3 linked regions of the Rhinolophus ferrumequinum genome follow. The protein of the gene in region 3 purifies or fractionates together with the protein of the main gene of each other region. This does not show direct contact. Links are inferred from orthologs where the notes say so. Each region holds a gene or a part of one and is shown on either strand. Other genes may lie near its edges.

Evidence for each region. Proteins that work in one complex are often made in the same cells at the same time.
Region 1: the proteins of SLC39A11 (region 3) and GALNT16 purify together in Homo sapiens (co-immunoprecipitation; 3 studies listed by BioGRID and IntAct, counting the BioPlex papers as one, with this or other methods). This does not show direct contact. The link is inferred for Rhinolophus ferrumequinum from reciprocal best matches to the Homo sapiens genes SLC39A11 and GALNT16.
Region 2: the proteins of SLC39A11 (region 3) and FAM174A purify together in Homo sapiens (co-immunoprecipitation; 3 studies listed by BioGRID and IntAct, counting the BioPlex papers as one, with this or other methods). This does not show direct contact. The link is inferred for Rhinolophus ferrumequinum from reciprocal best matches to the Homo sapiens genes SLC39A11 and FAM174A.

The regions. Positions count from the first base shown.
Region 1 is NC_046289.1:27,811,085-27,818,270, forward strand, and holds the start of GALNT16 (polypeptide N-acetylgalactosaminyltransferase 16), read right to left. Parts: upstream 3,073-7,186; 5' UTR 2,935-3,072; intron 2,865-2,934; exon of another isoform or gene 2,578-2,864; 5' UTR 2,465-2,577; coding exon 2,288-2,464; intron 1-2,287. UniProt on the Homo sapiens protein: Catalyzes the initial reaction in O-linked oligosaccharide biosynthesis, the transfer of an N-acetyl-D-galactosamine residue to a serine or threonine residue on the protein receptor.
Region 2 is NC_046290.1:67,040,443-67,048,179, reverse strand, and holds the start of FAM174A (membrane protein FAM174A), read right to left. Parts: upstream 3,073-7,737; 5' UTR 2,878-3,072; coding exon 2,438-2,877; intron 1-2,437.
Region 3 is NC_046304.1:48,664,885-48,672,352, forward strand, and holds the start of SLC39A11 (zinc transporter ZIP11), read right to left. Parts: upstream 3,008-7,468; 5' UTR 2,941-3,007; coding exon 2,892-2,940; intron 2,019-2,891; coding exon 1,900-2,018; intron 1-1,899. UniProt on the Homo sapiens protein: Zinc importer that regulates cytosolic zinc concentrations either via zinc influx from the extracellular compartment or efflux from intracellular organelles such as Golgi apparatus. May transport copper ions as well.

The DNA of each region.
Region 1 (7,186 bases), on a different chromosome or scaffold from region 3:
CCAGGACTAAAGCTTAAGAACAGAGAGGGAGCTGGCTATGCCCCTATGTGGCCAGAGAAGGCTCTGCCGCTCTCTCCCAGGAACTTCCACTCTCCCTCTCTTCCTGCACCCCCACTCCCTGGCTCCAGGGAGGTCCCTGATACTCCTTCACACTTTAAACTTGACTTCCAGTTCACAGCCCTTTTCTAATCTGCAGCAAGTCAAACCCCATGGGACCCAGGACAGGGCAGGAGCATGTTCACTGGAGCCCGCCATGACCTCCAATTTCCACCCCTCAAAACTGCTGCATTGCCTCCAGTAGGGCCTCCCACACCATCCAGGTCTCTCAGTCTGAGTGGCCTTCCGGGCTGATCTTGGAGGGCACTCAGAGAAGCAGGGGAGAGGTCCAAGAGCAAGGTTAGGATTCCGAAGCAGAGGCAAAAGGGATGAGACCCAGCAGCTTCCCAGTGCCCTTTTCCCTTCCATTCCCCTCTCTTTCCCCTCCTCTTCCTCTTCCAGCTCGGACCCTCCGCCCATCACATCACACAGAGGACAGAACATTCTAGCCAGCCTGCTTGTCCCTTGCTATTTCCTGCCCACTTACCCTGAGGCCAGGGTTGACCCTCTCATGATATAAGGAGGAGGTAGCTTGGATGAATCCATGGTGTGGAAACTCCCTAGGGACCTGGGGCCACTAGTGGTTTGGCCAGTTCCACTCCAATCTGTCAGTCTTCTCAGACCCCAGCACTATGGAGTCTTTACACAGGAGGTTTTTTTCCTCATCAGCTTTTCTGTCCAAGCAGCCACAAGTGTTTTGGAAACAGTGTCCTCATGACAGGGACTCTCAGCCAAGAAAGGGACATTCCACCTAAAGAGGCTCAGCCCCAGAGTTCAACCAGACAGGGGTGTGAGAACTGGGGGAGAAGGGCTGGGGAAAACCAGTAAACCTCAAGGTCTCCTCAGGCAAAGCAGGGAGATATGGTACTTTGCAGGGGATTTTTACTTCTTCCGGGGCGGGGCGAGTAACAAGACACAGAATGTGGGGCAGGATGGGAATATGAGAGCACTTCCACACCAACACCCGCTCCCCACCATATTCCTGGGGCTCAGCTGCCTTTGCACAAACATCTCAGATTGTACTCCACACAAGCCTTAGCCCTCCTGACCCTGCACCGCCCCGAGGAGCTCCTCGCCCCTCCCTGCCCAGGCCCAGATCTTTTCACGTCAGAATCGTCACCCTGCTCCACTACCCACCCCCTGGCCCCACACTTTGCTCTCCCTCCTCTTGATCCTCATCCAGCCAAGCAGCCCCCGCCCAGCAGTCTCGAGGGTCGTCCAAGGTTCTTGCCCACCACTCGTCCCGGTGGGAAGAAGGCGTCACGCCGGGGTGCGCCTCTCGGCGGGTCCCAGAGCCTACCTCCTCAACAGGTGCCCCCGCCACGCAGAGCCCTCAACCTGGGCGCAGGCGGAGGCGGCGACAGGCACGCCCCCTGCAGGGCGGCGGGGACTCCTCACGCCCCAGGCCAGATCCCGGGAGCGCCTAGGGTCCCGCAGCTCCGCCGAGACCCCCGCGGTGATCCGCCGCCTTTGTTTCCCTACTCGCCTTGACCTCGCAGGGCTGACCTCGTGAAAGGGAATCTCCGAGCCGGTGCGCAAACACTGCCCACTCACCCGTCCTGATGGGGTGAGGGGCGCGTACAGGACGAGACCTTTCCCCTACCCAGAGAGCCCCGGGTATGTTAATGGGGAGTACTCCGTGCATAAGAAGCAGGTTCAAGTTGACCCGAGCCGAGAAAGGGGCTCAAAGCCGGGCGCAGCCCCTAGCAATCCTGCCTTACCCAACGCCCCCACCCCACGTCCTTGGCCCCCAGGAGGTTGGAGAGGGGGTGCGCATGGCCACCTACGCGCTCAGCTGCGCGCAGTTCCCACTGCCTGCTAGCTGCGCGCAAGGTCCAGCCGCCTTCCGGAGCGGACGAGGCACGGGCAGCCCCCGGCCCCGGCCCGGCGGCGCAGTGCCGAGAGAGCCGCCACGTTCCCAGTCTCGCGCGCACGCCGGGCCCACCAAACTTGCAGCACTTTCTCCCAGCCCCCAACCGCTGTCACCCTCCCTCCATCCGTGCGCCCTGGCCCCGCTGGCCCAACGGAGGTTGCCATAACAACAGGCAGGAATGCTCCAACATATACAAAGCCCGCAGAGCGCGGCGGGCACGCAGCCCCTGGCCGGGCCCCGCGCCCTCTGCAGCCGCGCGAGGCTAGGACGCGCGCCGCGGCTCCCCGGCCGGCCGCCCGGCGCGCAGGGTGTACTCACAATGAGCGGGATGGTGCGGTCTTCGCGGAGCTGCTCCGGCCTCCCACCGGCCCTCTGAGCGCCGCGGCCGCTGGAGGATGCTGCATGGGCTCGGTTGTCCTGCCATAAGTAGTAGAAAGTGCCCAGGATCCAGGCTACGGTAAGGATGGCGATGGCATTGGCGCGGATCTTCCTCATGGTGGGCGGGCGGGCGCCCCGAGTGGGGGTCCGAGCCGGCGAGCTCTCGGGGCCGGAGCGGGGGCGCTCGCAGCCCCAGCTGTTTGTTTTCGCTTGCGCCCGGCTGCTCAGTCCTGCAGAGCAGAAAAAGGAGAGAGGTGGGGGGTGGGGGGGGTGATGGGGAGAGACAGGCGCGCGGAGCGATCCTCACGGTCCTAATGCCCTTCAGCCCCGCGCGCGCGCGTCCCCCGGGCGCCCATTCATTTGCGCGCAGAGCCCGCCAGGCGCTCCAGCTCCCACTGGCCGTCCGGGTTGCTGCGCTCTAGGGGAGAAGCGCCAAGGGTGCGAAGCGGCGCGTGAGGAAGACCCGGCAGACACCCGCGTCGGAATGGCGACCGGCCAGAGCCAGTCTCCGCTACCACCGCTTGGTGACAGAGCGACCGGCGGCTGCCCCCGCGCGGCCCTAATCGGTCCCTCCTACCTCCACCCACCTCCCGACCAAGCGGCCCTGAGTCACTGGCTGGAGATGCGCGACCCCGACCCGGGCCCGCGCCGCGGAGGTGCGGATCCGGGCTGCGCTTGACCTGCGCTCTGTCGCGGGGTTTAAGGTATGTTCGGCGAGTCCTTGGGGAGGGGAGGCTGGCTAGGCGGGAGGAGAGTTTGCACAGGAATCTTCCACAACCTAGGATTCCGAGCCGACCGAAGCCCCCTCCCCCACCACGGAGGAATTGGAAGCTGGTGCACTTGACATTCGAAGACAGCAAGGGGAAGCGACGCTGCTTCTCAGCTAGTGAAAGGAGAATGTGGGTTCAACCACCGCACATCTTCCATTGGCCTAGAGTTCCCAGCTTTCATCATGCTCCTCTCCACCCGCCTCACTGTCCCTGGCCAACGCTGAGGTATCATCGTCACCATTTCATCAGGAAGAAGGGAGTTCAGAGAGGCTGGAAGATTCGCCCAAGGCCACGCAACTAATTAGTGAGCAGAGCCCAGTCTAGAAGCCATCTCTCTGACACTTTCGACAAAGTGCAAAACAGTGGGGAGTGACACAGACACGGAAATTATAGCGATTCTGCCCCAGTCCTGGCGGCATTGAGAACCCCGGGGGAACCACTCTCACTCCCGCAGAAGGCAAGATGGGCTAAATTAGCTCTAGAAGACCACCAGCACGGGCTGGGCACAGAGCAGACACTAAACGAGTAGAGGTGCCATAGACAAACCAAGTGGGTCACAGAAGAAGAAATAATGTATGGCAGGCAAAGTGGTCCTAGGGAAGGCTTTTCACAGAAGGTGGATAAATCTTTTGAATAAGTTCTTAAAAGACAGGAAAGGGGGAGGGCAGGGCAGGGTATATGGGCTGCACCAATAGCCCGAGCAAAGGTTCTGAGGATGGAAATACTTGATGTGTTCAAGGAAGAACACATCAGCAATGCCTGGCATTGCTGGGGTCCAGGATGCTGGGAAAGCCTTGGTGGAAGGTGGCCAGGCTGAGAGAATCTGGATTCAGGAGGACCCTGAAGTTGGTAGGGAATCTGCTTCCCACTAGTGCTACTGGAAACTGGTTCATGTGAAGGCCCACAGAGGGTCCCAGCCTCCAAATGAAGCTGCCGTGGGAATCAGGCAAACGGTGAGGTCACAGCTCATTCCTTCCTCCAGCCATCCCCATCAGCACCGCTCATTTCCCCGGGGTTCTCCAGCACTCAAGACTGAACCACACATGTAGCAGATGCAGGAATCATGGGGCAGACCCAGTGGTCATGTTTTCTGTGGGAGACCAGGGAGACCTTGCTCCTTAGGAATCAGGCCCCACAGGCATCTGCACACAAAGGAAGTGTAAGGGAACTGCCCTGCTGGTGTCCCCACTTCCACACATGCTCTCACATCAGCCAAGTGGAAAGACTCCGGCAATGGCCCTCTGTTGCCATAGGCTTGCTCCCCTCATCCCAGCCTGGTCTATCCATGTCTAGTTGCCTTTAGTCTTGAGAGAACCAGGTAAGAAGATACGGGATCCAAACTCATCTCATCAACCCCTAGTGAGAGGCTCCACACTCAGCCCTAGGCCTGAGGGATGAAGCTGGACCATGCCAAACTGAAATCAGGCTGGAGGGGGTGGTTCTGATGGCTCTGGAAGAAGGGTTCTATGAGGAGAGGGAGGGAAGGAGGAGCTGGAATTTAGCCAAGTTTCTACAAGTCTCACCCTTTATTCTCCAGGGCTCAGTGGTGAGTATGCTTCACATCTGACCAAATTGTCACTTCTTGGAAGCTCTGTCCCAAAGAGAAGACTTCCCCACTCCCCCCAGAAAACTTCATAGGAGCATAGCCTCTCTGGATGGTGTTAGACTTCACAGCCAGCCCTTCCTTAAATGGACACAATAAATTTCCCTGGGGGTGGGGGTGAGGGTAAGGGGGCAGATAATCACCATGCTTACCTGACTAACAGAAACGTGACATAGACAGAGGCTGAGTGACGGGCCTCAAACCACAGGCACACTAGAAGAGCTGGGAACTAGCAGCGGCCACCTCAGCTACCACAGTGCATGGTTCAGTCCTGAGTGCTGGAGACACCCGTGCAAATGAGCGGTGCTGATGGGGGTGGCAGGAGGAAGGCACAGTCGTTCTGCCAGGTGCTGACCCCTGAGACAGAGTTCAGTGTTCAGAGATGACAGTGGGCATTGTTTCCTCTCTAGGCCTAGGAGTGATTCCAGCAGAACCACAGAAGCAAGGTGACAACTGAGAGACAGTGTTACCTAACATTCATTGAACTTCCAAAACAACAGGAGTGATAATAATAGCGACAGTTCACTGAGTACACAGCAGGTGCCAGGTGCTGTGCTGGCATCTCACACGTTATCTCTAACACACCCACAACCTGCAGACGAGAACTCAGGCTCGCTCGGTGAGGGTCTCGGTTGCCAAGAGTCCTACAGCAGGTAAGCGGTCGGTTTCAGTCTATTTGCTGTGCCTGTGTCTGGGCACCAGTGCAGCGTTTCTGAGGTCACTGGGCAGTCTGCAGGGTGGTCACAAGTTCTGTATGCAGGGGCCCCATGTCCCCTTCTGTGCCTCCATTTTCTTTTCTGTAAAAGGAAGGATGCGGAGAGATGACCTCCGAGGTCCCTCCAACGGTGTCATTTTGGACTTCCAGTTCCTTGGGCAGGGTCTCCATTGTGCATTGCTATTGGGCACAGTCCCCTTCCTTTAAAGCTGCTGAAGCAAGCACTCAGGTAAGCTGGGCAAAGTGCCCAGTGCCCTTGGCCATCCTAGAGGCCCCAGGGAACTCTCTGCCCCTGCATTTGATGTGGGGATGGGGGGGGCAGGTGGATAACAGAGGGGAGAAAGGGTACAGCTCGGTGTAAAACCCTAGCTCTGGAGTTGGACAAGCTGAATTCAATGCTGATTCTGTCATATATTAGGAGAGTGGTTTGGGCAAATTCTTAACCTCTCTTAGCCTCAGTTTCCTCAACTGTGAAATGAAGCATGACAGCCCATAACTTGCAGCATTGTTGGGAAAGATAGGATGAAATAAAGCATGCAAGATCCAGTGCCTGGTAACCAGCCCAGTCCCCTGGAGGCCCACTCTCACAGGCGCTGCTGCTGGCTGCTGGGGTGAGAGGGGACTCCCGAAGGGCCTGCCCAGGGCACACACACAGGATTGCTCACCAGTGCTGAGAAAGAGTACAGACCCCAGGCAGGCCTCTTCAGCCACACCCAAGGACAACTGCCTGCCCAGAAGGTGGGTGGCTGCCTCTTCCACAGTTTCTGCTGAGTGGACTGGAGATGGGGCGGGGGGTGCGGGGAATACAGGGCCCCAGCCTCTGCTGGTGTCTGTCCTTGCTAGCATACCCATTTCCCTTCAGACCTTGGACCGGCCCCCCAGAAGCCTCTTGCCCTGTCTGCAGCTGCAGCGGGGCCCGAGAAGGTAGAGGAGGGGAACAGATTATACCTCCATGTCTGTTCTAAGCAGGAAAGGAGGAAGGGATGGTGAACAGAGTGTGTTACCATGCAACAGGCATTGCGCCGATACGCACTCTCAGAATACTCCCCACGACCCTGCGAGGAAGGTGCAACCATCTCCGCTTCACAGATGAAGAAGCTGATGCCTGCAGAGGTAAGGCAGCCATCAAGAGGTGCATCTACTACCCACGGCCAGATGACCGCACGTAGTGCACCATTGTATCTAAGGAGAAGTTACTTGTAAGTTTAGTTTCTATAAACCATGATAGATGGAGGAGAAGACCTGGCTCTTTGAAAGGAACTCAAAGAGTCTTCTTGTTAATCATTCTATTTGCCTATAACCATGGCTTTTTATGTCAGTTTCTGCCACTGGAGTGTAAGCTCCATGAGGGCAGGAGTTCTGGTATGTTTTGTTCACCACTGTCTCCCCAGTGCTTAGAACAGTGCTTGGCATATAGTAGCACATAGTACATGCTCATTAAATATTTGGTGATGGAAGAGAGGGAGGGAAAGAGGCAGGCAGAGGTAAGAAAAAGGGTAGAGTAGCTCTGAGGAACATGCACTTCTCTCTGAAGTCAAGCACTTGAGAGTCGTGGGCAGGACTAGAGCCCAGAGGGAGGGATGTATGTAGGTCAGTGTGGGCCAGTATAATAAGTAACCCAGGTCCCCTAACAGTGCTTCTTCCTCAGAAGCATTTGGCTCCCTCCCCCAAACACGGGCCAGGGGACAAACCTTGCTGCCTCAGGATGGGGAGGTGAGAAAGTCCTCTCTGGTCCCACCAGGAGGCAGGGG
Region 2 (7,737 bases), on a different chromosome or scaffold from region 3:
TGTTAATTAAACCAAAAATCTATCATTTGATTTAAAATAATAAATCCATTGCATGTTAACATACCTTTTTTCATAAGAAACATATTGTCAAAAAGAAAACAAACAAACAAACAAAAAGGTGACAGAAGGGCACTGACTTAGATTTTTTTCAAATCCCTTTAATGTCTGGCTTAAACAGATAGAACTAAATAGAAAATAGAAAGACATAGAAAATAGAAAATAGGTAAATATTTGTATTTGCTTCTGCATTTAATCATTTGCAATGTGTTTGGTTGAAGGATATGAAAAAAATCTAGGTTCACATAAATATGAACTTGGAAAAGGGAGGAGCATTTTAATCTTTTCAGATGCTAGTATTCTTTTTTGCTACTACACCAAAACTCAACAAGAGGTAGTTTCTTAAAAATTAGCTGTGATGTAGAATTTGAAACTGTATCAATGAACTTCTTATACCCTATAAACTTATAAGATAACGCATTATTTTGAAAATTGCTTTGGTCTTGCAGATTCCTTGAAGGGCTCTCAAAGAACCCACCCTCCCACCTCCCAAGGTTCGCTGGACCAAATGTCTGCTACGAGTGGCTTACACTGTTTTTTTGTTTTGTTTTGTTTTGTTTTTTAATAGCTATTTAAGCCAAGGGATGTTGGTTTTCTATTCATGGAATAATAAATAGATTTATTTAAAATGTAACTTTTAGTTTAAATAAACATATTTAAAGAAATGTATGAAATAATAGAGGGTAGGTAGTTAAGGGAAAAAATGTGACAGTTTGGAAAACAATAAATCAGTGCTTTCCTGAAAACCTAGCCTCTATTTTATTAAGGAGGAAACTATTGAGAGAGTGCTCCCTCAGCTCTTTTCTTGGCTGACTGCTCCTAATATTGACGTTTTGGCTCTATATTTCAGCTCTTCAGAACATGGTCCCCAGCTAACCCACTAAAAGAGGCTTTATTATAGATTTTCCAAATCAGTCTTATTACATGGTTGGAATATTTTAATATGATTGATGTCAGAAGCCAATTTTACTTCAGTGATAAAGGAATGCATCAAATGGAGGTTACTGATAATAATAAATATCTCTAGTTGGATTATATAATTCCTTTTCTACTTGATAAGGCATTAGGGTATTAGAAAAATAAGTGGCAATTGTCTATTTTTATTCATAGTATGTCCAACATAATGACCTGGTTTACTTAATAAAAATGTTGATCATAGGTCAGGACATAGACATTTTGTTAATTGGAAAATATTCAAACAAAGCAAACAGTGGATTGTACAATCATAGATTATTATTAAGCTCCATAGAATATCAGATACATCATTTTACCCTCTGGGTCAATTTCCTCACAGGTAAAGTGAAAGGTGTCATTTAAGTGATCATATCTGTTCGAAATCTGAAATTTAAATAACTCAGCAATCTAGCATTCTGTAGTTGGAATAGTCTTTAAAAACTATGTATTTCATAAATTTAAATTTTTGAATGACAGAATTGTTATTTATAGGTGAATTCATTTTAGAAAGTTTGCACGTGTGTGTGTGTGAAATATCAAATTTATCCATATATGAATTCAAATATTTGTAAATTTAAAGTCAACATAGTGAGTTTTCTTAGGATACTAAACACTTGCTATAATATTAAAATTGGATCATATTTATAACATTTTTCCTTTGCTTAATAGGTTATCAGTTTTCCATTTTATCACGCAACTGGTAACACTTTGCATTGAAATAACCGTGCCATGTAAAATGAATGCTAAATATTTCTGATTAATGGGGAGTACGACACACATTGAAAGTGACAATACAAAATTGTATTGTCAGGTAAAAAATGGTGGAATGCAGGAAACTTCATAGGGTACAATCTAATTGCTTACGGGCAGATTAAAAGGCCAATACTAAAAAAATCTCTGGTAAGGAAGAACTCTTTTTCTTTTATATTTTATAAAATTACCATAATAAAGTCCTTCTGCATTATTATTAATCCACTTAAATAAATATTGATTTCCTATCAAGTGGCGGTATTGTACAAGGAACTCTAGGGCTTACAAACGCTACTAAATAGGAATCCTGCCCTTAAGAAGTTTTCATTCTAATAGGCAAATTGGCAAAGTATACAGTACAGAATAGAAAGCGAAGTATTGCAACACATTGTGGTCCAATACAAGATTACTTCCTTTCAGGGAAAGTATGCTCTTTTTGCCAGGTAAAGGGATTTGGAGGCGGGTACTATGTATAATTTATAAATGAAAGGGAGCAGCTACTTGGTGGTTTCAATTCTCTCAAAGGTACCACTGTCTTTTGACAGTCATCTTCACAATCTCACTCAAACAGGCACCCCTGATACTGGGAGAGGAAGGTGGGCAACGCGAGGTTCCAGAAATGTGCCTTGCTAGGTCAGCGGGCCCTGGGGGAAGGCTGATCGAGGCTTCGCCTCACCTGACAGTCCTGACGACGAAGTACACCAGCACCGCGCCGCTCACCACCATCAATACGGTCAGGGCCCGCTGGGTCATGGGCTTCTCGCCGGGATCGGGGCTCACAGCGAGAACGCCACCCACTGAACCTTCTTCCCCCGCCTTCCCGGCTGGGTCCTCCGCCTCAAGCCCCGCACCGGGGCTGCTGCCATTGCCACCCTCAGCGCCCCGAGGCCTCGCGGCTTCGGCCTGAGCGCGGCCAGGGGACCGGGCGGCGGTGGGGCCAGGCGGAAGTGGGGGCAGGGTCCGCGGTCCACGCTCCAAGGGTCCGGAGTCCCGAGCGGCTTCGGCCGCTTGCAACAGTACCGCCATGGGCCCTCTTAACCCTGGCAGGAGTAGCAGCAGCAGGAGGGCGGACGCCAGAAAGCGGCTGAGGCAGCAGCTGCAATGCAGGGCCTTCATCGTCCCCGGACCGGCCTCTCACCACGCCGGAGCCGCCGGGCCCGCCGCCCTGGCTCCAGGAGGAACCATGGGCGCAATGGAGAACGAAGAAAAGGTGACCAAATCCCGGGCTGAGACCCGGCCGCGGCAGGTGTCAGAAGCGACAGCAGCTGCTGGGAAAACCGGAAGTGCGTACATTTCAGCCGCCACTGCTGCTATGGACGCTTTCGGTTGCTAACAGGTAGCGGCAGGCGCGTGCAGTGACGTCCGGCGCGCAATGCCTTGTGCGCACACGCTCTGCCCGGAGGAGCTGAGTCCGCTCTACGGGTGGGTCATCATTAAGGAAGTAAACAAAAATGTGTAGTGTAAAATGTACAGAAGCTCTTTGCATAAGGAAAGCTCGAGAGAGCGGAGCTCACCGTTGAGTTCCTTTGTGTAAAACTGCAGAAACACAGTTAAGACGGGCTTGACGTTTCTCTTAGCTCAGGTACAAATTGGAGACAAATGTCTTCCAGTCTCCAGGTCCCTGAGCTTCCTTTCTTGAGAGTATTTACTGTAGAAAATTTGTAATTGTAAATTCATCCATTGCCCTTTTGAGGTATATAATAAATCCTTTAAAAAGCTCTTGCCAGTTTTACAGCCCAGGATTGTATTAAGGACCGGGAGACATTCTTTTGAAATGTAATCAAGGCAGACAATAGCACCCCTATCTTTCCAGTCTTTGTGGAAAGGTAGGAGCCTAACTTAGGCGGGCACCTTGTTCCAACTTGTAGAACTACTTCCTGTCACAAAGCTAAGAGAAAAAGTTAACTTTTCCTTTGAATAAGGCCAATTAGTAAACACAGGTGGCCTGTGATGTTCCCTACTTCAACTCTTAAAAGCGCTTCCATCTCTTTGTTTTTGGGTAGTTGAGCTCAAGAGTTCTGGCTTTTGTGGTCTATTATGATAGTCTTGAATAATGTTTTCTTTACCTTCTTTGACATCTTACATGGAACTTTGGTCTTAGCAGATACTAACAAACAGTAACAACAACAACAACAACAAAAACAAATGAAAAACCTGACCAGAAGCCAAAGTTAATATTTGTTCTGTTTAAAAAACGTATTCACTGAAAAAATTGTTTTGAGTTTCTACTTGCTTAGCACTGTGTGAAATTATGAGTATGGGATAGTAGACAAATCAGATGTGATCTTTGCTGTCATAGTACTTAGGCTCATATGTAGATAAACAATTGGGCTCATTCTGAATTCTGAAGTATGTTGTAAATGACAAGTACAGGATCTACAGTAAAAAAAAAATGTAAAGGACTATTGTAGGTAGGGTGGACAGGATAGTGTCTTTAGGGGTAATAGAGTAATGCAATTACTCTGGTAGAATTGTAGGGACTAGGCATCTTAATTAATGTTGGGTTCCAGTGTGCGGAAGACCATTGGTGACATGCCCTAACTTCAGCTTCCAACCTGGCATTTATCAGTAATAAGATGGTTCTTTGGATATCCTGTCTCCCTTATTCACAACCTTATTCAGAGCCATACGTGGAAGAGGGTTCATATTTAATGCCACTCACTTCCACCCTTTAAAAAAGTCCAATATTCAACACATCAAAAAAAAATAAAGTGCACCATCTTTCCTTCCTTATAATATCACATTTTACTGTTGTGTTTCTCATCTTGATTACTAGCATTATTCTTCTCCAGGGTGATTAGGCATAAAACCTTGGCATCATCCTTTATCCTTGGCTTCCCATCTGCAGCAATCCTTGCCAGTAACTGAAACATGAAAAGTGCTAAGTAATTCTGAAATAGCAGAGTCAAATTAATGATTGCAAATGATGAGAGCATATTATGTTCTAATGTTTCTCCAAATGTGACTCTCCGCCACCTGAATCAGTATCAGAAATGGAATTTGTTAAAAATGCAGGTTCTAGGTCATTATTCCAGAAATTCTGAGCACAATTTTTGGGAGTGGGGATATGGACTATGTATCCATTTTTCTAAGCTCCTGGGGTAATTTTCATTTACACTAATGTTTAAGAATCTCTTTCCTTTCCCTTACCACTTGCATCTAAATGTTGTCAAATTTTCTCACTTCCCTAACGTCTTTTTCATTAATCAACTATTTTCTGTTCCCTGCTTCTGACAAGGAATTGTTTTTATATTTCTAGGGCTATACACTAGTCTTCTTTGCTCTCAGCCCTTTCTACCTTTGCTTACAGCCATGGTAAACTTTCAAGCTCAGATCTCTCTTAAAATAACAGATGAACAAATAGATTTCCTTCCAAAAGACTCTTAGTCCTCAACATCAGTGATCTTAAGCAGGCACAGCACCTGCAAATTAATGTGTTCTTTGCAGAATACCATATTATCTGTAAAGCATTATGGAACAATATTTTCAGTTCCATCACAGGAAGTGGGAGCAAGTTTCCTGGGAGAAAATATTTTGCCTGTGTAATATAAAATGAAAATTTTGAGCACGCATGTCTATTTATAAGACAAGTTGTCAAACAAAGTATAATTGGTTTTTCTGAATTTGTTCAATTAATAATACTACTACTTGTGCATTTACTAGTTTTCAGTTAGCCTGCTTAAAAGTTGTGCCAATCACTAGAGATTTAAAAACATAGGGGAGAAAAATTCTTAGAATGTGGAATTTATATTGATTTACTTAAATTAATCTGCATACTGGGAAAAGTCCCTGATAAATTCTAATTTATCAGGGAACCCCCTCAGATGACAGACACCAGTCTTTCTTGGAAATATGGTTAAAAACCACTGGCCGCCTGAGTAAAATCCAAACCCCACAGTGGTATTGAATAATAATTTTGAATATTGATTAAGCATCGTGTACCAGATATCATGTTATCAAATGTTAAATGATTATCTTTGTTTAATCCTCATTAAAAAAACACATTATTATTCCTATTTTACAGTCAAGGAAACTGAGACACGGGGTAATTAATTTGGCAAAAATCCATATGAGTGAAAACAACAGAGCGGGGCAGTGAATCCAGGCAGTCTACCAGCATTTTATCTTCTAATTAAGAGTTTTCATGATTTATGTCTAGCTTATTGTCTCAATCAGCTATTGCTAGAATAATGTTGTATAAACAATAACCAAAAAGATCCCAGTGTCATAAGCATTTATTTCTCACATGTTTTGGGTCAAGCTGAGATTGATTTAAGCTGACCTTGTGTAGGCTTGGTTCCAGACCACAGGTTTAGTTCAGTTTTACTCCAGGCACCTCTCATTCTTCTGGGATCATGTCTAGGTCATGTTTATGTTAAATCTAAGGTCAGAACTTCCTGAGGCAGAGTGAGTGAGTGGAAGGGGGATGGGGGATAAGCATAAAGAGAAATGAGCCATGTGTGTCTTGTTTTGTTGTTTTTTTAAACAATGAAAGCAATTGGTTACCCAAAGCCCCATCTTTTGCTCTTGACATGCAGCTCATTGGACAGAGGTATGACATGGTCATTTCTAGGAAACTGGAAATTTTAATATTTACATGGACATATTCTAACTCTAGCCAAATTGTGTTTATGTTAGCAAGTAAAAAGAAAAAAAAAGGTTATATTGATAGGCATTTCATTTTCAGTTCAATCTAAATAATAGAGACCAAGGCTCAATAAGTATGCCCTGTTGTCAGAATCCCCTTGCTAGTGCAGTAATGAGGAGGGAAGGCAGGAGGTTGGCTCAATTGTAGTGGTCACATTTGACAGAAGGAATCTCTTACACATTGAGTGGCATCACATCAGGGGACTATCTATACTCTAAAGTCCAAAAGGAAACAGAGTTAAATAATCCAGAAAAGAGAGTATGAACTGATCACCAAACCAGACAGCCAAAAGAATGTATGCTAAAAGCTAGAATGTGAAGGCAGACTTGGAATGCCATAGAGACAACTTAGAAGGGAGCAGTGCTGTTGGGGTAGGCACCGCATGCATAGTCAAGTAGGAGCACGAATAAATGCTAGCATTAAATATCTAAAAGGAAATGACCATACAAATGGGCTATGGTTCCTGAGAGAAAACAAACAAGTTGTGTCCCAGTTTTTCTGGTTCTCTGCCTCGGGAAAATTTCCTAGCTGCAGTGCAGTGACCTGGAGTTCAATCAGAATATGGAAGTCTCTCTATCTAAAAGGCAGAGATCAGAGTTCTAGGCTTTTGAAGTGATGGGAATCTATGAAGCAGGGCATTAAAATAAAGAATCTGTGGAGGTCATAAAATTCATGTGGTGAGGGGGGTTTCCCACAAGTTCTTGCCTGAGCGCTGGACAGTACAACCACAGGCATGGCCACCCAAGGCGTAGTGGCTGCTGCAGAGGGGACAGCAGAACCGAGGTAGCACACAATTAGCAGACCCGGGGACTTTAGAATTATGGCACAGACATACTGGTTAGGGCTCCTTAACACTTCCTGAAAATGGGAATCAGGATGAATCACTTTTTATGATAAAGGCCACACCCAGAGAGAGGCCCACTCTAGACACACTTTAACAAAGCTTAAAACCAAGCCCTAACAAGATTGATTGTTAGAGGAGACAGAATTTGGAGATTGAATCTTGCCAATTTAGAGGGGCTTGGGAAAAAGATACAGAGAAATTCTATAGTCTCGCGAACAGAAATATAAAAAGATTCAAGAAAAATGAACAGAACCCCAGAAACTTACAAGACAGTATTATACAAGTCAATATATGTGGATTGGAGCTCCAAAAGAAAAATCAGTATAATGAGGCAATGAAATATTTTTGAAAAATGATAGCTGACAAATTTTGACTTACAGTTCCAGGAAGATCAGAAAGCAATAAGCAAGATAAATACAAAGAAAACCATATTTGGGCATGTCAGAATCACAGGAGAGTCACAAATATCAAAGTCTAAAACAGA
Region 3 (7,468 bases):
GGTGATAGATGCGGGGCCCCTGCTTTCCTCCCATGAGTCTGGAATTTTGGAAGCAGCACGGTACTGAACACCTACGTGGCCAGCGCCCACGGAACACCTTGAGAGCTCAGTCCTTCACAGGCATCACCAGGCAGACACGTCACAGCACTGCTGCATTAGGTTGCTGGGACACAGAGCACACTTTGTGTGCCCCGTCGCAGGAGGGAGGGAGCGGCAGACACCTGTGCGCACATTTCCCCGGGCTCTGCCTGTGTCTTTCCTTTGCTGGCCCTGCTGTGTGTCCTTCCACTGCAATAAACCGTAGCCATGAGCACAACTACATGCTGAGTCCCATGGGTCCTTCTAGCGAATCAGCGAACATGTGGTCTTGAGGACGCCCTGTATGCTCCACAAAGACAAAGGTCTCAGCAATTCCCCCTTCTGACCTGGGTGGTTACCCAAACACGAGCCAAATTAGGGGCTCTGCAGCTCCAAAGGAAAAGGGGGCCCCTCTGTGATGGCTCCCCGCTTCCAAAGAGCCCCAGAGCACTGGCCAGGGCCACATGGGGCTATGAGGTTCTACTCACCACAGTGCTGCATGGAACTCAGGTCTCAATGGCCAGCTCGGCCAGCTAGACCCCAGCTAGCGCGGCTCAGATCTTTCCTTCTTAAAGGAAAAGAAACTGGTGAAGATGAAAAGATGGGCTGCTCTGCCCAGAAGGACAGGACCCCAGCAAACCTGGCGTGGCTGTTGTGAAAGAGGAGGGGTGAAAGAGGATAACCTGGTGCCCCTCCTCTGGCTCCTGAGGGGGGCGGTCTCTCCTTCAGGAACCGGGTTTTGAACGTTTTCACTACCTGTGGACAGTAAGCTGGCACTCGCGGCTGTGTGCGGTGATGTTCTCCCAGCCTCCCGCTGAGGAGGCAGGGGCGGGCAGCCGGGGAGGTCCGATAAGATCTCAAGATCTCATCGTTGACATCAATACCTGCTTTACTGGTCTCTAACGCAAGAGTGCCTGGCTTGCCAACGTCTTAGGCGCGTTTTAGTTTCCAGAGCCGCCTAGCAGCCTGTTTAGATAGATCTTAAATCACTTAGTCGCTTACCACTCCTACAATTTCTACGGCTGCATTCATCAAGTTATCCACGGATCACTCTAGGCCAATGGATGGAGGCAGTCAAGGGTGTGGAGAAGAAAAGGGAATCTGGGACCTAGGAGGGGGGCGTGGGCCGTGGAGGAAAGGGGTGGGGTGCGTGGAATGTGTGGGGAATGGGGTTGAGGAGGGTGTGGGGGTGTGTGGGGAGGGTGGGAGAGCATATGTGGAGTGTGTAAAGGGGTGTAGGGTACGGGGGATACAGGTGTGTGTGGGGGTTGGGTGTGGGAGCATAGGAAGAGCAAAGGTGGGTGGGGGTGGGGCGGGTAGGTGTGGGGGTCTGTAGGCCTATGGGGAGGCAGGTCTGAGTGTATCCATCCCAAAGCGGGTGGGAGAGGGAAGGCAGCGCCCTGGATTTGGGGCAAACGAGAGGGAACAGATTCCCTTCCTTTCCCCAAGTCAGTCCAGTCACCCCAGCTACCTCAAGGTCACAGAGAACGGCAGTCACACCCAGAATCTATTGTTCCCCTTCAGTCATGCACTGAGCTGCACCAGGCCTGAAAGAAACTGGACAGAAGATAGAAATCGGGCAGGCAGCTAAAGGAGCCTGACTCACTGGGCTTCTCTCACTCCCTCCGTCCTTCAAATCAGGAGGGGAGGAACAAGTGATGCCTAAACCGTAGACACCTGCTCTCCAGGCCTGGCAGGGAGAAGGGGGAAATGACAGGACATCACCCACGAGCTGGAGGTGTGGCCAGTGGCGCTCGAGTCTGCCGCCAGACTGTGCAGTGGTTCAGAGCCTGCTACGAGGGCTGAATCCAGGCAACTCACCTGTCCACTAGAGAATATGAACACGAGAGCCGCCCCAGCTGCCGTCATCCCCCAGGTGAAGAAGGTCCCCAGCAAGGCCTGGAACACAGAGCTGTGACCTTGGAGCATGCTGGATACAGCTGTGTGCAGAGGAGCAAGAGAGGGTCAGCTGCCAGTGGTCCCTTTCAGTGACATGCACGTGTTCTAAGGTGTTCTAACCCCATCCACCTGATCTGGCCTGGGTCTGGGTTGGTGTATGCACCTTTCAGCCATGCCATCTCTCAGTAAGAAACGTGGGGACACCTGGGGAGATGCCAGAGAAGACATCTGTGAAAGAGGTTACAACACTGGAAAATAGTTCCAAACACAGGAAGCTCAAAGACTGTTTATTTAGCCTGCAGGCAGGGAGCAGAGGGTCTAATTACAGCCTTCCCGCCCATCGGCCTTCCTCCTGCCCTTGCAAATCACTGGGTCAGTCTCCTCCAAATATAGGTGACTAGCTCAGGTTCCCTCTCGAAGCTCTTCCACCTAAGTTTTGATCCAACCTTCAACAGCTCCCCGTGGCAGCTCCCATGGCCCGCCAAGGGCATATGTCACCGACAGACCTTCAACTAGCCTGCCTATTACCACGGTGCCCTACATGGGCACCATATTCCAGCTCAACCTAATTATTTATGGCACCTGGACGAGTCCCACAGGGTCCTGCTCCAAGTCTCTCTTCACGCGGCTCCTCCCAGAATGCCTTCCTTCCCAACCTCCAGCCATCACACCCAGAGCATCCCCTGTTGTCCACCGAATGCCAACTTCGATTCCATGCTTTCCATTCCACTCCCGTCCCTGATGAGCACAGCTCGGGCACCTTCTTTGTGTGGGCTTGCCTCCTTCATCTTTTATATCATCAGCTGCTTAAGAGCAGGGATGATGCTTTTTCACATTTGGCACCCCTGTAGGTAGAACTTTCTGGCACCCCTAGAAAATGCTTGAATTTTTTATGGCACCTTGGACAAGCTTACCTTGAGAGGACCCCCAGCAAGAACAAGGAAATGGAGCCAAAAGGGGCATTTCCCCAGGCAACTGCTGATGCTGAAGTTACACCACTGCCCACAGACGAAAGAAAGGGAAGGACATTCCCTCGTGTGTTTGCTCAGAGAGCCTCTTCTAGACTTGAACGTGTTTTAAACCCTAGCTCTGAAATGACAGGGAATCAGACTCTTGCTGTGGAAAGTTACAAGGTGGAGAAACCCATTTGTTGAAAAGTCCTGTGTGCTGGTACACAGACATTGAGGGTGAGGCCCTCCTCATCTCAGAGGGCTCATTCAGCTCCCCACCGGCCTGCCAGCACCCACAGGGCTGGACACAACCCCACCGGGCTCAGCCCTGCCAGGTCCCAGCGCTCGGAGCCAGCAGCTGTGGGCTAGACACCGCCTCTCTCTATTGACCCTGGAAGGAAACCATGACCGAGGGTGTGAGGGAGGGGCCCTTACGCCACAGGGCTCAGCAGCATAGCTAGGATTCAAACCTAGGAAGGCTGTGGGTCCAGGTGAACCCAACAAGCCCAGGTGAGCCCAGGTTCGGCCCCGGTGCCAGGAAACCTCTGACAGAGACAGCATTTATGGACTCAAATGGTGTCCCCATAGCCTAAGTAGAACCCAGGATGGTGACTGTACCAAATAAAGAAAAAAAAAAAAACAATCATTAAAAAAAAAATACACCCTTTTATATATGTCATCTTGTTAAGTTACCCTAAAAAGAGTGGTTTGTGTGTTTTTAAAACGACACATCTAGATCAAGACACCAATTTTCTATTTCTAGCTGCTTGTGGATAAAATTTTCAATAGTATTTACAAAGAAAGGCATACAGCTATCATCCTCTTAGTACTTATGACCCAAGACAGGTCATTAAAACAAACAAACAAACACCTTTTTTGCCCCAGTACTGAATTCGCGCCTTTTAACAGCTACAGAAGAGAGGAAACCATTTGCATTTCCCAAAAGGCCAGTTAATGTGGGTTTTGTGGGCTGGGAAACAAGGACCTCGTGGGTGTCCCTGGGGGCTGGTAGGAGGGAAAGGCACTCTTCTAGGCCTGTCTCCATTGACAGCTGAGCACCCTGAGCTATAAGAAAAAGGAACACAGAAGGAAGACCAAGGCCATCATCCTTCCCACCCCAACAGTCGCAGCACTGTTCATTGGTCATGAAAGCCCAGCCGCTCTTGGAGAAGTTTCTCCCCTTCGCTGTTTTAAAAAGGGTGGTCCGAGAACCTGGAGCACTGGTCGCCCTTGGGAGCAGGCTAGAAATGCAGACTCTCTGCCGCACCCCAGACTTGCTGAATCAGAATCTTGAGTTTTATCCGGTTGCATGGGGCATTCTTAGGCACAGGGCACATTCATGTGGAAAGCACTGGTCTAAAGCTGGAACAAATTCTACAGGGCCAAGAGCTTAGAAAGTGATTCTCCTGCCCTACAAGGGCCTGGCAAGGCTGACGCCAAGTCAAGTCACGAGATAACAACGAGTTTTCTCCAGTAGGTAGACCAATAGCACCTTGGGGACAGGGAGCGGTCAGCCTGGGGACGTCAAACTCAGCTTCCACAATGAGGCCCAGGCTTCCTTGTAAGCTGGATGTTAACACATAAACCTTGATTCGTTTGCAGAGTAGGGGGTTATTCCCTTCCCACCCCAACTTCAAAGATGCCAACACCACCCCACATGTGGTCACTACAGCAGGACATGAGGTGCTCCCAGTTGATCCAGGATTTTTTCTCTCCCTTTCAAACCTCTTGCCCTGCTTCCAAGAGTCAGCTCCAAGATGTGGGTGAAGCTGCAGAGGTGGAAACAGCGCATAATGGCACTGCACACAGACGCCCTGACTCCACGAGGGAAATCCAGCAAAACGATTCGGGTTTGGGCTGCTGTGACTGTGGAAAAGTTCTCCAGGACCTCCCCACTGAAAGTGTGGCCCGCGGACCAGCTGACCTGGGGATTGACTGGAAATGCACCATCTCTGGCCTGCTGCACCTGAACCAGATGCCCAGCCAAGTTCAGGAGGACCTGCTGACCCCCAGAGCCAGTGGGAACAGACACGTTGCAGCTGGAACGGCAGCCACCCGCACTCCCAGGGCTCCAGGGTCCCCCACAAGCCCACCATGAAGTACTACATGAAGAAGATCCTGGAAAACCACTGTCAAAAGAAGGCAGGTCAACACCCTCCAACTTGCCCCTGGGAGGGGCAGAGGGGGCTCCGCGCCCCCTGCTGCCTCCTCTGCCACCTGCCAAAGCCGCCCCGCTTCCCCGCCAACCCCCTCCCCTCCCCAGAGGAACTCCCTTCCAAACTCCACGTTGCCCTTCTTAGTCCCCCACGCCTGTCCTGATGGCCCCAGACCCCAGGCCTCCAGCCCGACCGAAGGCGCTGAAGGACAGAAAAGCCGACTCACTAGGGTGCCCTCTCAAGCCCCCACTCCACTTCCATCAGCCCCTGCTGCCGCTCGTTCGCCGGCTCCACTCCCGAAATCACTTCCTGCTTCCCTCCCGGCACACGTGTCCCACCAGCCACCAGGCCCCTCCCCGCCCGGCTATGATTGGCAGATCCTGCCAGAAGAATAAATTCTCCGGTTCACAGCCTTCTTCAGGCTCAGAAACAGATGGGGCGGGTAGCACAGAGCCCGGAGGCCAAGCAGAAAGAACATTCTGCATGTATAAATAAGCCTCTGCAGCCTTATCTGAAGCCACAGAAACCCAAGGAAAGAGCACTTTGTCATGCCCCTGATATCATTTATGTCACTACACTCAGATATGCTGTGGGGACAGAGCCCCAAAAAGCAGTTTCCTGGCTCTCGGCCTCACATAGAAAGGTGCTGGCTCAGGTAGTAAATGGCCATCGACTGTGATCAAATGGCCATCAGCTGTGGCTAGTTGGCCATCAGCTGTAACCAGTGAGCCATTGGCCACGAATATAACTGCCGTGGCTAGGCTAGCAGGAAAAAAATGGGGGCTAGCAAGAAGATGGTGGCTGAGCCTGCAAGCGGCACAGTGAGGGTTGAGAATTGTGTGGCTCCTGTTTCCTGTGTCTCCAACCCAGCCGCCAGCGAGAACATAGTGGTATGACTCCCCTACCTATGGCTCCGTGGGTGTTCCTTTTTGGCCTCACCATGTCCTGCGTTCTTGTGTGGGGAGCGGGACCAGAAACCCCGCCTCACACCTCGCATGACACTTGGCGTAGTCGGCAGGATCCCCTGCACGACACCTGGCGCAGCGAGCAGGGTCTCCCGCACTACATATGCTCATGGGATCCTAGAAGTAAAAGTAATAAGCAGTTTCTGGAAGTGCTATTGAAATGTAAGGGGGTTTTTGTTATTTTGTTTAAGGGATTTTTTAAGTAGCCCCCACCCATCTGTCCAGAATTCATCAACTTCTCTCCATCTCCACTGCTGCCACCTCTGCCCAAAATAATAGCTTTGACTCCTCATCCTGCCTGACCGCCCAATTAATCTTTCCCAACAGTCCAATTCTCCAAACAGTGATTTTTTTTTTAAGCTATAAAGTTCAATTATGTCAGTCTACTACTGCAAACCCTCTGAGGACTCCTCATTGGAATAGAACTCAAGCTCCCTCCCTTAACCTCTGAAGCCCTACATGACCTGGCTTGCTCGCTCTCGACCACTGTACCCTTTCCTCAAGCTGCTTCAGCCAGGCTGGTCTGCCTTCTCTGTGAACACCATGCTTACTCCTGCCTCAGGGCCTTTGCACTTACTGTTCCCTCTGGAACACGGCCTAGAACCCCTGCCTGGTGCATCTGTCTCCCAGATTTTCACCTGCCCGGATCCTTCTTGTCATTTGGGTCTCAGCTCAAATGTCACCTCTGCAGAGGCCTTCCTTGAACACCTACTGTAATATAGGCCTTCCAAACCTCTTTATTTTCTTCACGGCACTTCTTGATATTTACCATTTTTATTTACTCAGTCCCCCAAATGCAAGCTCTGTAAGAGCAGTACCACGTCTGCCTTTTGCACTGCTGTGTCCCCAGTGCAAGGCACATAGTAGATACTCAATATTTATTGAATGGATAAGTCAGATACAAAAGTATTATTTGTTGTCTACAGTTTGCATATTAAAGACCTTCCTGAGAGTTAGGGGAAAACAATATTTGTGTATTGGATCAGACTGTCCCAACTACTTCCTTCTAACCCGATAGTCATCCAGGGCTCTCAGCCAAGGGCACTTTGCTCCACAGGGGACAATAGGCAAGTGGGATGGTGCCAGTGGGTAGATACACATCCAACAATGCCCAGGACAACCCCCACAACAACGAACTGTCTGGGCCAAAATGTCAACAGTGTCAAGACTGAGTAACCCCTGTATAATCGCACAAGGTAAGCTTCTTCCTATGAAGTAATGATAAAAATCATTCTCTAAATTTTAACATGCCTTCAAGAAGCATCCGGCCTCAGTCAAGACACTGATCCACTCTAAAATGCATTTTATTCACCCAAAAATGCAAGAAAGAAGAGAACGAACTGCCCAACCAATCTTTACAGTCCAGCACAGTCACTGCACAAATACACGTACAATCAAACATGCTATGTGCTCAATTTCC